Linked DNA regions of Lonchura striata. The protein of the gene in region 3 binds, or shares a complex with, the protein of the main gene of each other region. Links are inferred from orthologs where the notes say so. Each region holds a gene or a part of one and is shown on either strand. Other genes may lie near its edges. The genes, in order: ZNF831, KANSL1 and OGT.

The links.
Region 1: the proteins of OGT (region 3) and ZNF831 are in contact, whole or in part, in a crystal structure (PDB 8FUF), measured with the Homo sapiens proteins. The link is inferred for Lonchura striata from reciprocal best matches to the Homo sapiens genes OGT and ZNF831. Residues at the interface, in NP_858058.1 of Homo sapiens: Phe723, Ile734, Met779, Ile787, Ile790, Asn791, Arg792, Gly793, Leu808, Ala809, Thr831, Arg832, Ser833, Gln834, Tyr835, Gly836, Leu837, Pro838, Glu839, Arg877; in NP_001371283.1 of Homo sapiens: Phe937, Ser938, Pro939, Lys940, Tyr941, Leu942, Leu943, Arg944, Leu945, Pro946.
Region 2: OGT (region 3) and KANSL1 share a complex: the UniProt entries of both Homo sapiens proteins name them as parts of the NSL complex. The link is inferred for Lonchura striata from reciprocal best matches to the Homo sapiens genes OGT and KANSL1.

Annotation. Positions count from the first base shown.
Region 1 is NC_134619.1:3,794,079-3,798,518, reverse strand, and holds the start of ZNF831 (zinc finger protein 831), read right to left. Parts: upstream 3,370-4,440; 5' UTR 3,087-3,369; intron 1-3,086.
Region 2 is NC_134627.1:8,850,606-8,855,045, forward strand, and holds the start of KANSL1 (KAT8 regulatory NSL complex subunit 1), read right to left. Parts: upstream 2,884-4,440; 5' UTR 2,726-2,883; intron 1-2,725. UniProt on the Homo sapiens protein: Non-catalytic component of the NSL histone acetyltransferase complex, a multiprotein complex that mediates histone H4 acetylation at 'Lys-5'- and 'Lys-8' (H4K5ac and H4K8ac) at transcription start sites and promotes transcription initiation.
Region 3 is NC_134616.1:18,902,374-18,906,813, forward strand, and holds the start of OGT (UDP-N-acetylglucosamine--peptide N-acetylglucosaminyltransferase 110 kDa subunit), read right to left. Parts: upstream 3,250-4,440; 5' UTR 3,118-3,249; coding exon 3,081-3,117; intron 1-3,080. UniProt on the Homo sapiens protein: Catalyzes the transfer of a single N-acetylglucosamine from UDP-GlcNAc to a serine or threonine residue in cytoplasmic and nuclear proteins resulting in their modification with a beta-linked N-acetylglucosamine (O-GlcNAc).

The DNA.
Region 1 (4,440 bases), on a different chromosome or scaffold from region 3:
GTTTCTCCCATACCCTGAAATGCTCCCAGTAATTGGTAATGGCACTGCAGACACTTAAAATCTGTGAATCTAGAAAATACTTGACATTCTGAACTGCTTTACAGTGACTCATGCTTCTGCTCTATAGACTCAGTCTGTCCAGATGGAGAGAATTACATGCAGCAAGTAGTTTCAGCTCTGCTGGGAGATACTTTCCTAAAGGAATGTGTTCTCACCTCTAAGTGAGATCTTCTGGAGGATTACTGCATGCTACAGTCAACAAACCAACGGGGAAAAAAGATGCACATCTTATAATAGAACACTGGCATGAATCAAATCATACAAACAGATGATTATGGGCATTTTACATAACCAGTCAAAATTAGTTTGTCTTCAGTTTGATCACATTTCTGGAGCCCATTATTTTTTATTACACTTTGAGACTGACTGTTATTAAGTTAAGGTGAATTTACTTAAAAGGGACACTTAATTTAAACAGTACTAATAATTGCAGCAGTATGCTGGAACTAGTGACAAATTGAAAACATGTATAAGCATTTAAAATTAATTATTGAGATCACTCAGTATCAAATTCCAAATGCTAAAACTGCAAGCTGCTTATCCTGAGAGACTTAAGGAGACCATAATTAATTAAAGCAAGTTACAGCAAAAGCAATTGGCTGTCTGGATATCTGCCACTATCACAGAGATTTCAGGGTTTAGCAGAACCTTTTGAAGCTTGATCTAAAATCTCTAAATCTTGGATGACTCTGGAATCAGGGTCCTTCACAGCATCCTGTGATTCTTCCCATTTATGTGGTTGAATAGGCTGCTGTAATGGCTAGAAGTAACAAAATACAGAGCACCAGTATTACACTGCATTAGCTGTGTTTGAAATTAAGTGATTTTTGTTGTCTCTTTCTAATCAATCTACTTATGTGTTGCTTCCTCAGCTGCAATCTCTATGCAAGATTATTTATATTCATTTTAAATTCAAAATATTGTCCTGCTCAGAGAAACTCGGGTAACTTCAATAGACAGCAAAGTATGGATTTAAACTATGCACAAAGCTGAACCCACTGTCAGGTGCTGCACAGGAGGGAGTTCTGGGGCTGTACTCCTCTCTCAATTCATGTCCCCATCAGGATTTGAGGAATTAAACCCCACACCATTGGTACACATTTCTGGGTCCCAAGTGGAAAAGGTCCCACCCCAGGTATTTAAAACCCTGCATCCTTCAAAGACACCTACAGAGTTTTGACAGGGGTGTGAGCAAGTGAAAGCAGCAATAAACATTCTTCCTGTGCTGGTGAGGAAATTGATTCCAAAGATCCTGCAACTACACGTTTGAAAGAACTTTGCAAAGTTAAATGAAAAGAAAGTATCTTCCAGGATTGCTAATTATTAATTTTTCTTGTGAAGGCAGAGATGCTGAGAGCAGCACACAGTATCTTACTGTCAGAGAAAGATGCAGACAGTGGGATTATAATTTCCATTTGCTCATCCAACACTGACAGCCTGCACAACTCCCTTGACAGACCACACAAAACTTCTACTTCAATCTTAGCACCATAAAATCATTGGGAACCATAGGGTCTGAAATAAACTTTGTGCAGGTACTTTAAACACTCCTTCTGTGATGGAAGCAAAAAGTTTGTGAGTTTACCCCAGGTCTGGAGTTTTTAGTTCTCAATTCAAACAAGCAAAATGGAACCGACACATTTCCTGGTTAGCCCAGAAATGACTGTTAATCTCGTTTAACTTGAAAACTATTTCTGCCTTTGCTCTTTTCTCAGTTTGACTTCCTATCTTGAAATGTCTCATAACAGAAGTAGTGAGTTCACCTTTCCCCTTGTTCTTAAGGGATGTCTCTGATCTCACAACTCTGCCAGTTCCACCCGCAGCCTGCACGCTGCCGGTACCTCCTGAACAAAGTTGGGAGCCTCAGTCCTCTGCAGAATCAGGCTGAAACTGTTTAATTCCATCATCTCCTGAAACCTTTAGAGTTTTTCCATAGTCACATCTCAAATTCTGACTTTGGGAAATCTTGCTGCTTGGTACAAGTCATTGTTCTGAAGTTTTGCCTTCTTCATGTGCTATTAAAGTACAAAGGCACTGGAAAACCAGCTGGGGGAACTTGGAAATTCTTGTACCGTATCAAAAGGATAAATATTTTTGACACTTAACTTCTACAGTTATATCAGCAAAGCTGGTTAGGTTGGGCTTTTTAAAACAATTATTTCTGTAAATATTGTGCCAGAATACAGTTTTAAAATCTTTTAGGAAGAACGGGATCTGCTTTACCTTCCCTTTGTTCCAGAATAGAAGCAACTGGTTTTATCATAATTATACAGTTTTCTATATTTTCCTATGTTTCTTTTCTTGAATATCCATATATGAAAACATTCCAAAGGCTTAGATTAGTAAAAATATTGTTACCCAAAACACATTTTAATGTGTAAGTAAACACTGTATTGGCTTTTTTGACCTCTTCATGCAATTTGTATCAAGAATATTTCCTTTTCTACTTCTTACACTGCTACTTTTCTCAGCTCTAGCCATAAGAAATGCTTTCTAGTTTATTATAAGTCTTTAGTTTAGATTTACATCACTATTTCTAAAAAGAAACATACCTAGCATATCTGTTCGTTTTATAACATGCTTTGTGGCTTGACCATGAGGAAAAAATAGGATCTTTAGTGCTTAAAAACCTCAAAGTATTTCAATTCTTTTATCCTTTCATCAAATTTGCTCCTGTGCATTTCCCGTGTTAGGAAAGAGTTAACAACCTCCAGCCAGCAGACTGCAATCAACAGGTTGCTCTAACAGAAAAATAATAACCCTAATCCATCTTTTAAAGTTTAGAAGGTTGGACTAAATGATGAAAAAATACCGATTAAAACCCTCTGAAAAGCTGAAGTGGGGCCAGAACTGAAATGCTTTGTGTTTTATGAAAAAAAAATCTTTCTCGTTGCTAAGTGAAAGAACCATCATAATTAAAAAAAAAAAAAAAAAGCCAACAACTGTAACTTTAAAATTTCTGGCTTGCCATCTAGAACTGAATTCTCTCTCTGTCCATAGAAAATGACAACAAAACACTTGCTAACCTTTAGGTGGCCAATTCACAGGCAGGTGGAGAGGTTCAGGTCCCTGGAATAGCGTTGAAACAAAAGAAGCATCCTGTTTTCTTTTTTCAGTGTCTTTCTCTTCTCCTTTTTTTTTAAGCATTTGAACAGTGAAGGGTGGGTGGTGGGGTGTGTGCAGAGAGAGCAGGGGGTGCAGGCAGCCCACGCTGGTGTAGGAAGAGTTTTAATGGCCGATGCTGGGAATATGGTTTGCCTGCTACAGTGTCTGCACTACTGCAGCTCTGTGTGTGGGCGTAAAGAAATGACACGACTGGGTTTCAAACCATTACACTGAAGATTTGCAAACAGTTAAAAAAAAAAAAAAATACACAACCCCATCAGGCACAAATGAAAAATTATGATTTTTCTCCTTTTATCTTTTTCTGAGGTTTTTTTTGTTGCTTTGTTTTAACTTAACAGATGTAATCCAGTCAAGTTTCTTCCTCAGCCTCTAAAAGAAAAAAAGGTAAATTGAGTATTTAGGAAGGTTTTCTACTTTACATAGTATTAATATTTTGTTGTCTTTTTTGCTGCTATTTTTTAATTAATCTACAAGAGCTTGTATTTCTGAAGAGTATCCAGATTTCCCCAGAGAAAGTCTTCAGAGAACACCTATATTTGTGCTTTAGAACATGCTAAATAGGTGCCTAAATTGTGGTAGCACCAAGTAGCACAGTACAGTACACAGAGCAGCCACTCCACAACTGGCCAGGCAGGACATCTGAGCCCAGGACTATTCCTTGGAAATGCCACAAAACACAGCCAAAAAACCAGGACATGCTGGCAGCCCAGTTTTGTTCAGTAGTCCAGCAACACCTCAGGTTTACTGATCTAAATTAGGCAGAAAACAGACTTGAATATTTGTTGTAACTACTGGAGACCAACAGGAGTGAGACAAAGGGGCTGTTCCCTGTCATATCATGGGGAATGAGAAGAAAATGGGATTTCAGCTGATATAAAAGTGCTGACACAAGTAACAGGGACTAAAACAGTTATGAACACACTGTTGTTGGGAGGGACAGGTGGAAGGTTTTGTCAGAAAAGCAAGAACACTTCTCAAACATATCTTTTTCCATATTTTTTACTTTTTACAGACAAAACAGTTTTAGAAGGGAACTTGAAAACTTCAAGGAATCTTTATGACTTGGCTGCTCCATGACTGACACTTGATAAATGTGTATCTCCAGGTATGTTGAGAAGAGACAACTAGGTAGAAAATCTTGTGTTTGGGCAGAAGGCATGTGCTCTCTGGGGTGTCGGGGTTTAGGTGTCCATCTTTTCACACATCCAGATGAGCCCCAGATAATGCAGGATTTCTGTTGCCTTTGGTGTTGTG
Region 2 (4,440 bases), on a different chromosome or scaffold from region 3:
CAGTGGCAAGGAGGACAGCCGGGCAGTGTGTTATCAGCACCCCACGTCCAGCACCCAGCGGGGTCACACAGTGAACACTAGCTATTCTTAAGGGTAACAAAAATACCTTTTCTGAAAGACAACAGCATGAGGAACTCAGCAGCTGCACACTCTGTCCTGATCTCCTCGCCCCGCTTAGAGAGAATTTTAGGGACACAGGACCCTACGATGGCGTGCGAACCTCTGGTGTTATTGGTTTTTTTAATCTACCTTGAATTAGGGCTCAGCTAAAAAGCAGAAGTAGCAACAAATGTGGTTTTATACTGGAACAGAAGAGTGAGGACAATCTGTTGTGGAGGAAGTTAAAAGAAATTCCTGTGCAATAAAGCTTCTGATCTTTTGTTCACTGTGCAGTGCAGGACTTTCTGCTGAGGCACAGACCAAGAGCCCAGATTCCAGCTTGACATTCCAGTACAGGTCTGGATCTTCCTGCAGCACAGACACAGCTGCAGCTTCCATCGTCCAGCCTGACCTGGAGATGAGTAGCAGAAATTGCTGTGCAGTGTAAAATTACACATGTACCTTCTATGGTCCTGCCAGTCTGTTTCCCACTCAAAACTGTGCTACAACTGGTCACCTGGCCACTCCAGGGCCAGCCACCTACCTGTCCCTCACACAGGATGTTCCTGATCTGGAGATGCCCCCATGAACAAGAGCAGCTCTCCCCAGTGAAGCCCCATTTTTACATCCTTCGAACTGTCCTGTTCTGCCAAGCATCCAGAACACCCAAAACACAATATCTGGTGAGGGCTGTGTACCCAGCTATGCACACCTAATTGTTACCTCATCTTTCCACCTATTAATCCTCCTCACTTCCTCTGATTGGACCTGCCTCAGAAATTTAATAGTCTCTATACAGTAACTATATGCATATCAGTACATAAAATAACTCTTAAGTGTTATTATTTATGACTTTTGAGCCTAAACCCATGCTATTTCTGTTTGGGAAACATCCTGAATGTGGGAAAAATGGATGGCCACTAAAAAACACAACAACAAGACTCTACCTGCTCTTAATACCAATACTTCCTATCACAAGTCCAGCATGGGAGAATCGGAGCCCAGGCAACCACAGGGGAATGGCAATGGGGCGGAGAAGGCAGCGAGTCCCCGTTGTGTGAGCAGGGCACAGGCAGAGCTGGAGCAGCACATCCCCTGGGAAGGAGCAGGCAGGGCTTCCTGCTCCTCTGCTCCCACAGACCTCCTGCCCCTCTGAGGAGGCTTCACAGAACTCAAGGGCTGGAACGGAGCTGGTCTCTCCTGTGACAGTAAAGCACTGCAAACTGTGGCAATAGAACACTGCAAACTGTGACAGTAAAACACTGCAGACTGTGGCAATGCCAGGTGCCAGGAGCTTGAGCACAAGTGGGGGTCACAGTGAGAAAGGCCCTCAGACAGATCCTAGCAGAGCAGTAAAGCAATTCAACTTGTGACACGCTCAACACACTCCAAAAATCAAGGTCCAGCAAGATCTGCCCTCCAGAAGCAAACACCCCTCAGCAGCAGAGCTGCCGAGGGATGTGGTGGCCGGACACGCCGAGTGCCCCAGCAGCACACGCAGGCACTGCTCCTTCTCCCAGCTCCTGCCAGCTCACGGGAGGCACAGAGGATCCAGGGCACCCTCCCGGGGCCCTTCCTGCCAAAACCCACAACAGGGAGATTTAATTCCACTTTTAAAGCCCATAAAACAACTCAGTGTTATTCCGTGTACAAAGAGCAAGAGCTTTGCTGCTGTGTTGGCCGACTGAAGATCAGATACCACAGCAGATTTGGGTAGGGTCAGTGTGAACGGATTGAAATAAGATTTTTGGTTTTCCCATTACAAGAGAATTTGTCTAAATTCAGCCTCAATAATTGGCCTAAAGTCAGGCTGCTTTGACTTGTAGATTTATGAAAAGAGGGAAATATCCTTCCCTTTAGCACTTCTCTTCAGGTTTTATTCAGCTGCACAGAGCTCAATTCCTGTACCTGAGTGTTTAGGACACATTTGTAATGTGCAATAACATCGGCAAGGCAAGAGGCCAATTTTCTGAAGAAGCACCAGCAAAGCCTCGCCAGGCTCCACTCTGGACCCAGGAGCACCACGGCTGCTTCACACACCGGGAAACCAGAGAAACAGAAATGTGAGCAGGAAACTCCAGCTTTAGACCTTTGGTTTCCACAGGACAAAGCCCCTCTGACAGGTGTACACAAAACTCTTTTGATACTATAAATACATACATAAACCAGATCAAATCAGGAAGTATAAAGGACCTTAGAGTGTAAACCTGGGGTTTAAGGATGAAAACAATAAAGAGAGGGGAAAAAAAAGCAGGAGATCTTTCTTTTTCTGGGCAAGTCATGCCTTGATGTCTCGATGCTGCGGCACACAAGGACAGGTAACACCTGAAAATACACACACATGCTCCTGAGAGGAGCCTCCACATCTCTTCACTACAGGCACTGGAATGGCTTTGGAGAGAGAAGCACCCTGTGCACGCACAGGATGAATCCACACTTCCAGCCATCATACCAAACCTCCATTTTAAAGTTGTGCATCAGCCAAGAAACTACGTGCAGGGCTCCAGCGTCACCCTGCAGGGTCAGGAGCCCAGGCAGCACCCGGCAGGGCAGCTGGGCACACCGAGCGGGCCGGCGCCGGGAGCGGAGCCCCGGGCAGCCGGGGAGCGGGGCAGGCGGGACGTACCTTGCTGGGCATCCTGGCCAGGCCCATCCTCGCTCACACCTGCGCTCCAGGTGGGCAGCCCGGGACGGCCTCCGGATCCTTCCAGCCGCCGCCGGCGGGATGCAAGTTTCTTACCGATTTACTCGAGGAGGTGGGGAAGTGCGGGAGCTGGGGACAGAGAGGGCTGTCACAAGGGGCCCGCCGCCCCCTCCCGCCGTCAGCTCCATCCCGCCGCGGGCTCGGGCCGGGCCCGGCAGCGCTCGGGGCGCGGGCCCGGGGCCGCCGCCACCCCCGATCCTTCCAGAAGCCCCCCGGGCCCGGCCTCGCTTCCCCGGGCTAAAATGGAGGCGCGGGGCGGGCGGGGGGACCCCGCTCCGCTCGGAGCCGACCGGGCCCGGTCCCGCGGGGCAGCGCGGCGGGGCGGAGCGCTCCCGGCGCCCCGGGCCCGCCGCGACCCTGCCCGCGACCCCCGGCTCCCGGGCGGGAGCAGCCGCCCGCCCCTCCCGGCCCCGCCGCGGCCCGGCCCCCGCAGCCAAGTCGCGGGACGGCGGGGCCGGGGCGGGGCCGGGGCGGGGCCGGGGCCGCGACCCCCGGGCCGTGCGCGCCCCCGGCCCGCGGCCGCCGCGCGCCCCCCGCCCGCTCCTACCTGCGCCGCTCCGCCGCCTTCAAGCGGGCACCTTCCGCCCTCCCCCGCGCCCATTGGCTGCGCGCGGGGCATGGGCGCGCCCCATTGGCTGCGGCCGCGTCAATCAGCGCGGGGGGCGGGGCGGGCGGTGATTGATGCGGTGCCGCCGCTCGGCCCCTGCCCCGCGCCCCCCCCGCCCGCGCCCCCCGGGCCACCGGCCCCGGGCCCGGCCCCCACGGGCGGACCCGGGCGCGCCACCCCGCCCGGGGCGGCCGCGGGTCCGGCCAGGCCGCGGGAGCACCGGGCGGGGGGACACGGGGAGCCGGTGTCCCGCGGGTGGCACCGGGGCGGGAGCCGGGGGGCGCGGGTCCCGCAGCGGGGAGGGACCGGCCGGGGGCCCGGGAGGCCCCGCCGGGACGGCGAGCCCCGGCACGGGTGGCGAGGGCTGCGGTCCCGCCGGGCCCTGGCCGCGGGTGGCACCGGGCCCGTGTCCCTGTCCCACGGGGCAGCGGGGCCGTGGCACCGCTCGCCCTGTCCCCGAGGCACGGGACGCCCCCCGGTCCCCGGTGACCCCGGGGCCGTCGCACTGCCATCTCCTCTAGACACAGAAAACTCCCCAATGGCTGCTCCTGAGCGCTGCTGTGGGCACAGCCCTCCAGCTGCTGCCACTCTTGCCTTTTCAATTCGTCTTTTAGTTTTTATCCAGTCACGGGCCAGGTATAACTCCAATAAAAGACTTGATCCATGTCCCACAGGCCAAAATGCAGGTGAGCTCCTTCACTGCTCACTCTTGGGACAGCAGGGCTGGGAGAGGATCATGGAATCCTGGAATGGTTTGGCTGGGAAGGGACCTCGGAGCCCATCCAGCGCCACCCTGCCATGGCAGGGACACCTTCCACTGGCCCAGGCTGCTCCAAACCCATCCAGCCTGGCCTGGGACATTCCAGGGATCCAGGGGCTGCTCTGGGCACCTGTGCCAGGGCCTTGCCAAACTCTGAGTAAAGAATTTCCTCCTAATATCTAATCTAATTCTCTCCCAGGTTGAAGTGGTTCCCCTTCTTGTTCTATCTACCTGTGTACAAGGTTACTCTCCCTCTTTTTTTCTAAGCCC
Region 3 (4,440 bases):
GTAACATTCACTGAATCCTGCATACTTCCTCTGAGGAGTCAAAATCCCTTCACAGAAAAAAAAATGGTCTTGGAACAACAATATCTGATGAGAGACAAACACACACTTCAATGATTATGCAACTAGCCTACAGGAGGAACCATTAAACAGAGAGGGTAGAAAGGAGTTACTGCTCCTGGAGGCTTAGCTGGAACAGGAGTGACAAAACAGTTTTAGTATTTAATACCCAACTGCAGAGAACAAAATACTTAAATGAAATGCCACCTATTTTAGACAAAGCAACCAGAAGTGAGAGAAGTAAGTAAAATTTCTTACAAAGTAATAAGCAAGTGCAACTTGGAAAACCCACAACCATTCATCATAGAAAGAAGTGTTGGCCTTCAAATTCTGCCTTTATATCAACAACTCTTACTATTAAAATGTTTGATTACTCCAAGTATCTCTCATTTTCCCTCCTGCACTCTGCAGCCCCTTAATTCCATTCATTAAACACTTTCCACCTCATCCTACAGTTTTAAAATTTGGACTCTAAATGAAACAGATAAACCTTTCCTAATACAAGAAAGCACCTCAATACCTGAACCTACATTTTTGTAGTAAGGTAGTACAAAAGTTCATGATTTTGTGAGAACTTTAAAGATGGCAAAAATAATCATAATCATATAATTTATATAATCATAAAGATAAATACAGATTTACTACCTAGCATTTATTTTATGAAATTGGGATTGATGTAATTTATTTAAATTACTTTCAAATTTGGGGGTTTAGCACCAGTAGGTTTCAGTATAAGACTCCAAGTCCTGTATGATATAAGTACAGTATTTTTTCCAGATAGTGTATTGTCTCTGCCACAGTAAATTTGAACTACCACTGCCAGTCTCTTTTTAGATAACTGACAAATTAGTAACCAAGTATCTTGATCCAGATTAGATTCCTGTTTTTCAAACCCTGAGTAAGAGCAACGTGGACTTCAGGATGTGGTTAAACATACTGGCAAAGGTAAAAAGGTACAACCTTTATTCAGTATGAGAATGTTGAACTGTGGCTGAAAACCACACTGCTTATAAATGGTGCTGACAGTAATACTGGAGCACCAGCAAACTGTTCCTCACTTGGTCCCTGTGCTGTTAACAGGTTTTGCCCTTCTGGCAGTCAGCGCCAACTTCCGCTGATGGCACAGAGAAACCAGATAGAGGAATAGCGTGTCTCATGAACTCAATTTCTTCTTCAAATACATTTCAATTGTTTTAGTAAATGTCAAAGAAAAAAAAAAAAAAAAAAAAAAAAAACCAACTAAAAAGCACCCCAAAGCTTAACACCCCAGAAGTTTTCACTTCAAGACTTATGACTGCAGGGAAAGAAGCTTTCAGTCATAATATCAATGCTACATTTTGCCTACTTAAAGCAAGAAGTCAAACTGCAGGTGCAACTGCCAGATCAAGAGAGCAGGCAGTGGAGATTTAACCCCTGAAAATGAGAACTACTAACAAAACCAACAAACGAAGAAACACTTGACACTTTCTTTAATTTATCAAGAGCCTCTGTTTACAAAACAAGCCAAAACCTTTGTCTCCAGAGATAGGGCAACCTCAGTGTAAAACTGCCAGTCATCTACCTCCAAGCAGTTATTTTATAATCGATTGTGAAGTACACTGAAAAGCAGAAGTGGACAGCCACATCACGAAGCCCAGAACAAATGAAACTTTTAATACAAAGTTGGCTGGAAGTTATGGAGTGCAAAATATCCATAAAAGAGCCCATGAAAGGATGCTCACTGAATCAATTAGTAAAGAAAATAACTGCAGTGAGAAGTCACAGCCAGGAAAATCCCTTTTCGTGTCTTGCATAAATTAATTTCTGTACCTTGGCTAATTTGTGCTGCATGCTTTGACTGTGACCTTGGAAAAGTCTAGTACAGTGCTGTGACAATGACCTTCCCTGAGGGTTCTGGACGATACAAGCAAACAAAAAGCTGCACAGAACCACCAGAAAGGCACCCAAGGCCATTTTCCCCCCACAAATACCATCCTAAGCACTTGCAATCAAGCTCAACCTTGCCTTCAGACACCATCTAGTTCCAGACAGAAGCAGTGGTTCCCTCCAGCTGGGAGGTGCTGGATAGCACAGGACTCCCTCCCAGCGTGCACGTGGCTCTTTTTACCCGCAAGGATCCCGGCTACAAGAGGATGCTGCAGCCTCGCTGACCACACACAGTTCTAGCTGAGAAAGTACGAAACACCGTACTGCAGCACTTCTCCGTATCACTACCGCTTCTCTTTAGATCCCTATCTCCTGCACCGCTGTCCCGTCTCTTTCTCCAAAAATCCTCCTTTTCCTTTTGCTTTTCCCAAGCATCATTTCAGCTCTCCCCACCCCCCCTGATTACAGAAACCCTCAAAATCTGGGGGATAAAGCTGCGCTGTCCTTTCACCCTTTCAGTAAGCCAACACTTCTTTCTCTTGCTGTACAAAGGAAGTCAGATTTCTCCTCCATTCCTCAAGTTCTGGATCTGCGAACTAAATTTAGGGCAGGATCTTTCCTTGATACAACACGCAATTTTACTGTTCAGAAAAGCGCTTTAGCGTTCGTCTATGCCACAGAATCATGGAACGTTTTGGGTTGGAATGGACCTTAAAGATAATCTCGTTCCAATGCCACCGCCACGGGCAGGGACACCTTCCATTCGACCAGGCTGCTGAAAAAAAAGTCCTGCCTAAGTGCAGCGAGCGATTCTGGGCAAACCAACGCACACTTTGGGTCAGGCTTTTACCCTACTTCGCCCTCTAACGCAGTCACCTGATAGTCTGGTAAATATAGCAGCGAGCCCGCCGCACTCACACCTCCCCGGCAGCGGCCCGGGGCTGCCCACGGGCAGCGCCCACCGGAGCGCGCCCGGGACCGCGCCGGGGCCCGGCACGCACAGACCCCACGGGCGGCGGGCACCGCGCCGGCCGCGTCCGGAAACCTCCGCTGGGCGCCGGCCCGGCCGGCGGGGAGCGGCCCCGGGGCCGAGGGCACGGCCGGGCCCCCGCCGTCCCCGGCCAGCCCGTCCTCGGCAGCGCCGCAGCGCACGGTACCTGTGCTGTCCGCCACGTTCCCCACGGAGGTCGCCATCGGGACAGGAGACGGGGAAGCTGTGGCGGCGACGGCAGAAGGTGCGCTCGGGCCGGGCCGGGCCGAGCTGCCCGCGGTCGCGGCGCGCTGAGGCGGCGCTCCCGAAATGGCGGCGGCGGCGGTACCGAATGGCCGCGGCCGGAACTATCCCCGCGGAAAAGAGTCCGGGCGGCGCCGGGCAGCGCTGCCACACGGCGGGCGGAGGGACCTGCTGCAATAGGCACGGGTCGAGATAAAGTTATCCTTCCGCGCGCAGCGCTGCGCCAACGGCGGCGGCACTGCGCATGCGCCGCCGCCTCCCGGCACTCCCGCACGTGGCCCCGCGGAACCGGCGGGACCGCGGCGGCGGGACGGCGGGGCTGGGACAGCGGGGCTGGGACAGCAGGGCTGGGACAGCGGGGATCGGCCGGCGGGGCTGGGACAGCGGGGCTGGGACAGCGGGGATCGGCCGGCGGGACGGCGGGGCTGGGACAGCGGGGCTCGGCCGGCGGGGATCGGCCGGCAGGGCTGGGACGGCGGGGCTGGGACGGCGGGACGGCGGGGCTGGGACAGCGGGGCTGGGACAGCGGGGATCGGCCGGTGGGGCTCACCGCGGCATCAGCTCAGACACAGTGCAGCTCCGTCACACGGACAGCAGAGCTCAATAACCGGGACACCGGAGCTCACCGTGTACCCGCACAGAGAAATGGCAGCCAAGGCGTCCGTGTCCCCATTCCTGCTGTACTGCATGAGCTCCGTCAGCCGCACCAGGACTCCACACCGAGCTCCGGGGACTGCACTAGCTCCCCGGGGCACTGAAAGTTAGCAGTCTCCGGTGAACCGGGAGCCTTCCTAAAGGTTCAAATCACCAAAAGTCTGGTTTCTGGAACCTGGAACTTACTGCAACTTCTAGAAAAAGCAGGGCAGCTGTTTCTGAGGTATTGGTAGGAGTTAGGCAGTTCCCAAAACCACTGAGGGGTCAGACATCAGACACTGTATTTGTAGTCCCAGAGAAAAAGCTCCCCTTTATGAAATGAAAATTGCCTTAAAATTGTTCATCAACAGCAAGTATTTCATTCTGAGCAAGCATTTTTCCTGACAGATACTCATTTATCCAAAGAGCCAGTATTTCTGAGGAATTACTTTACACCTATAAAGACTGAAGAACAAACCATACAAATCTCTATCTGGATTCTGGAACCAGTACAGGCTACAATAAGCCAAGGCTTCAGCAGGACATGCTTGTCTAATGCTTATTCTTCATCATTTACTCATTCATATAACATGTTTTATAGTCAATTAAAATATATCTTAAAAGAAATCTTGTTAACACAGCCCACACTA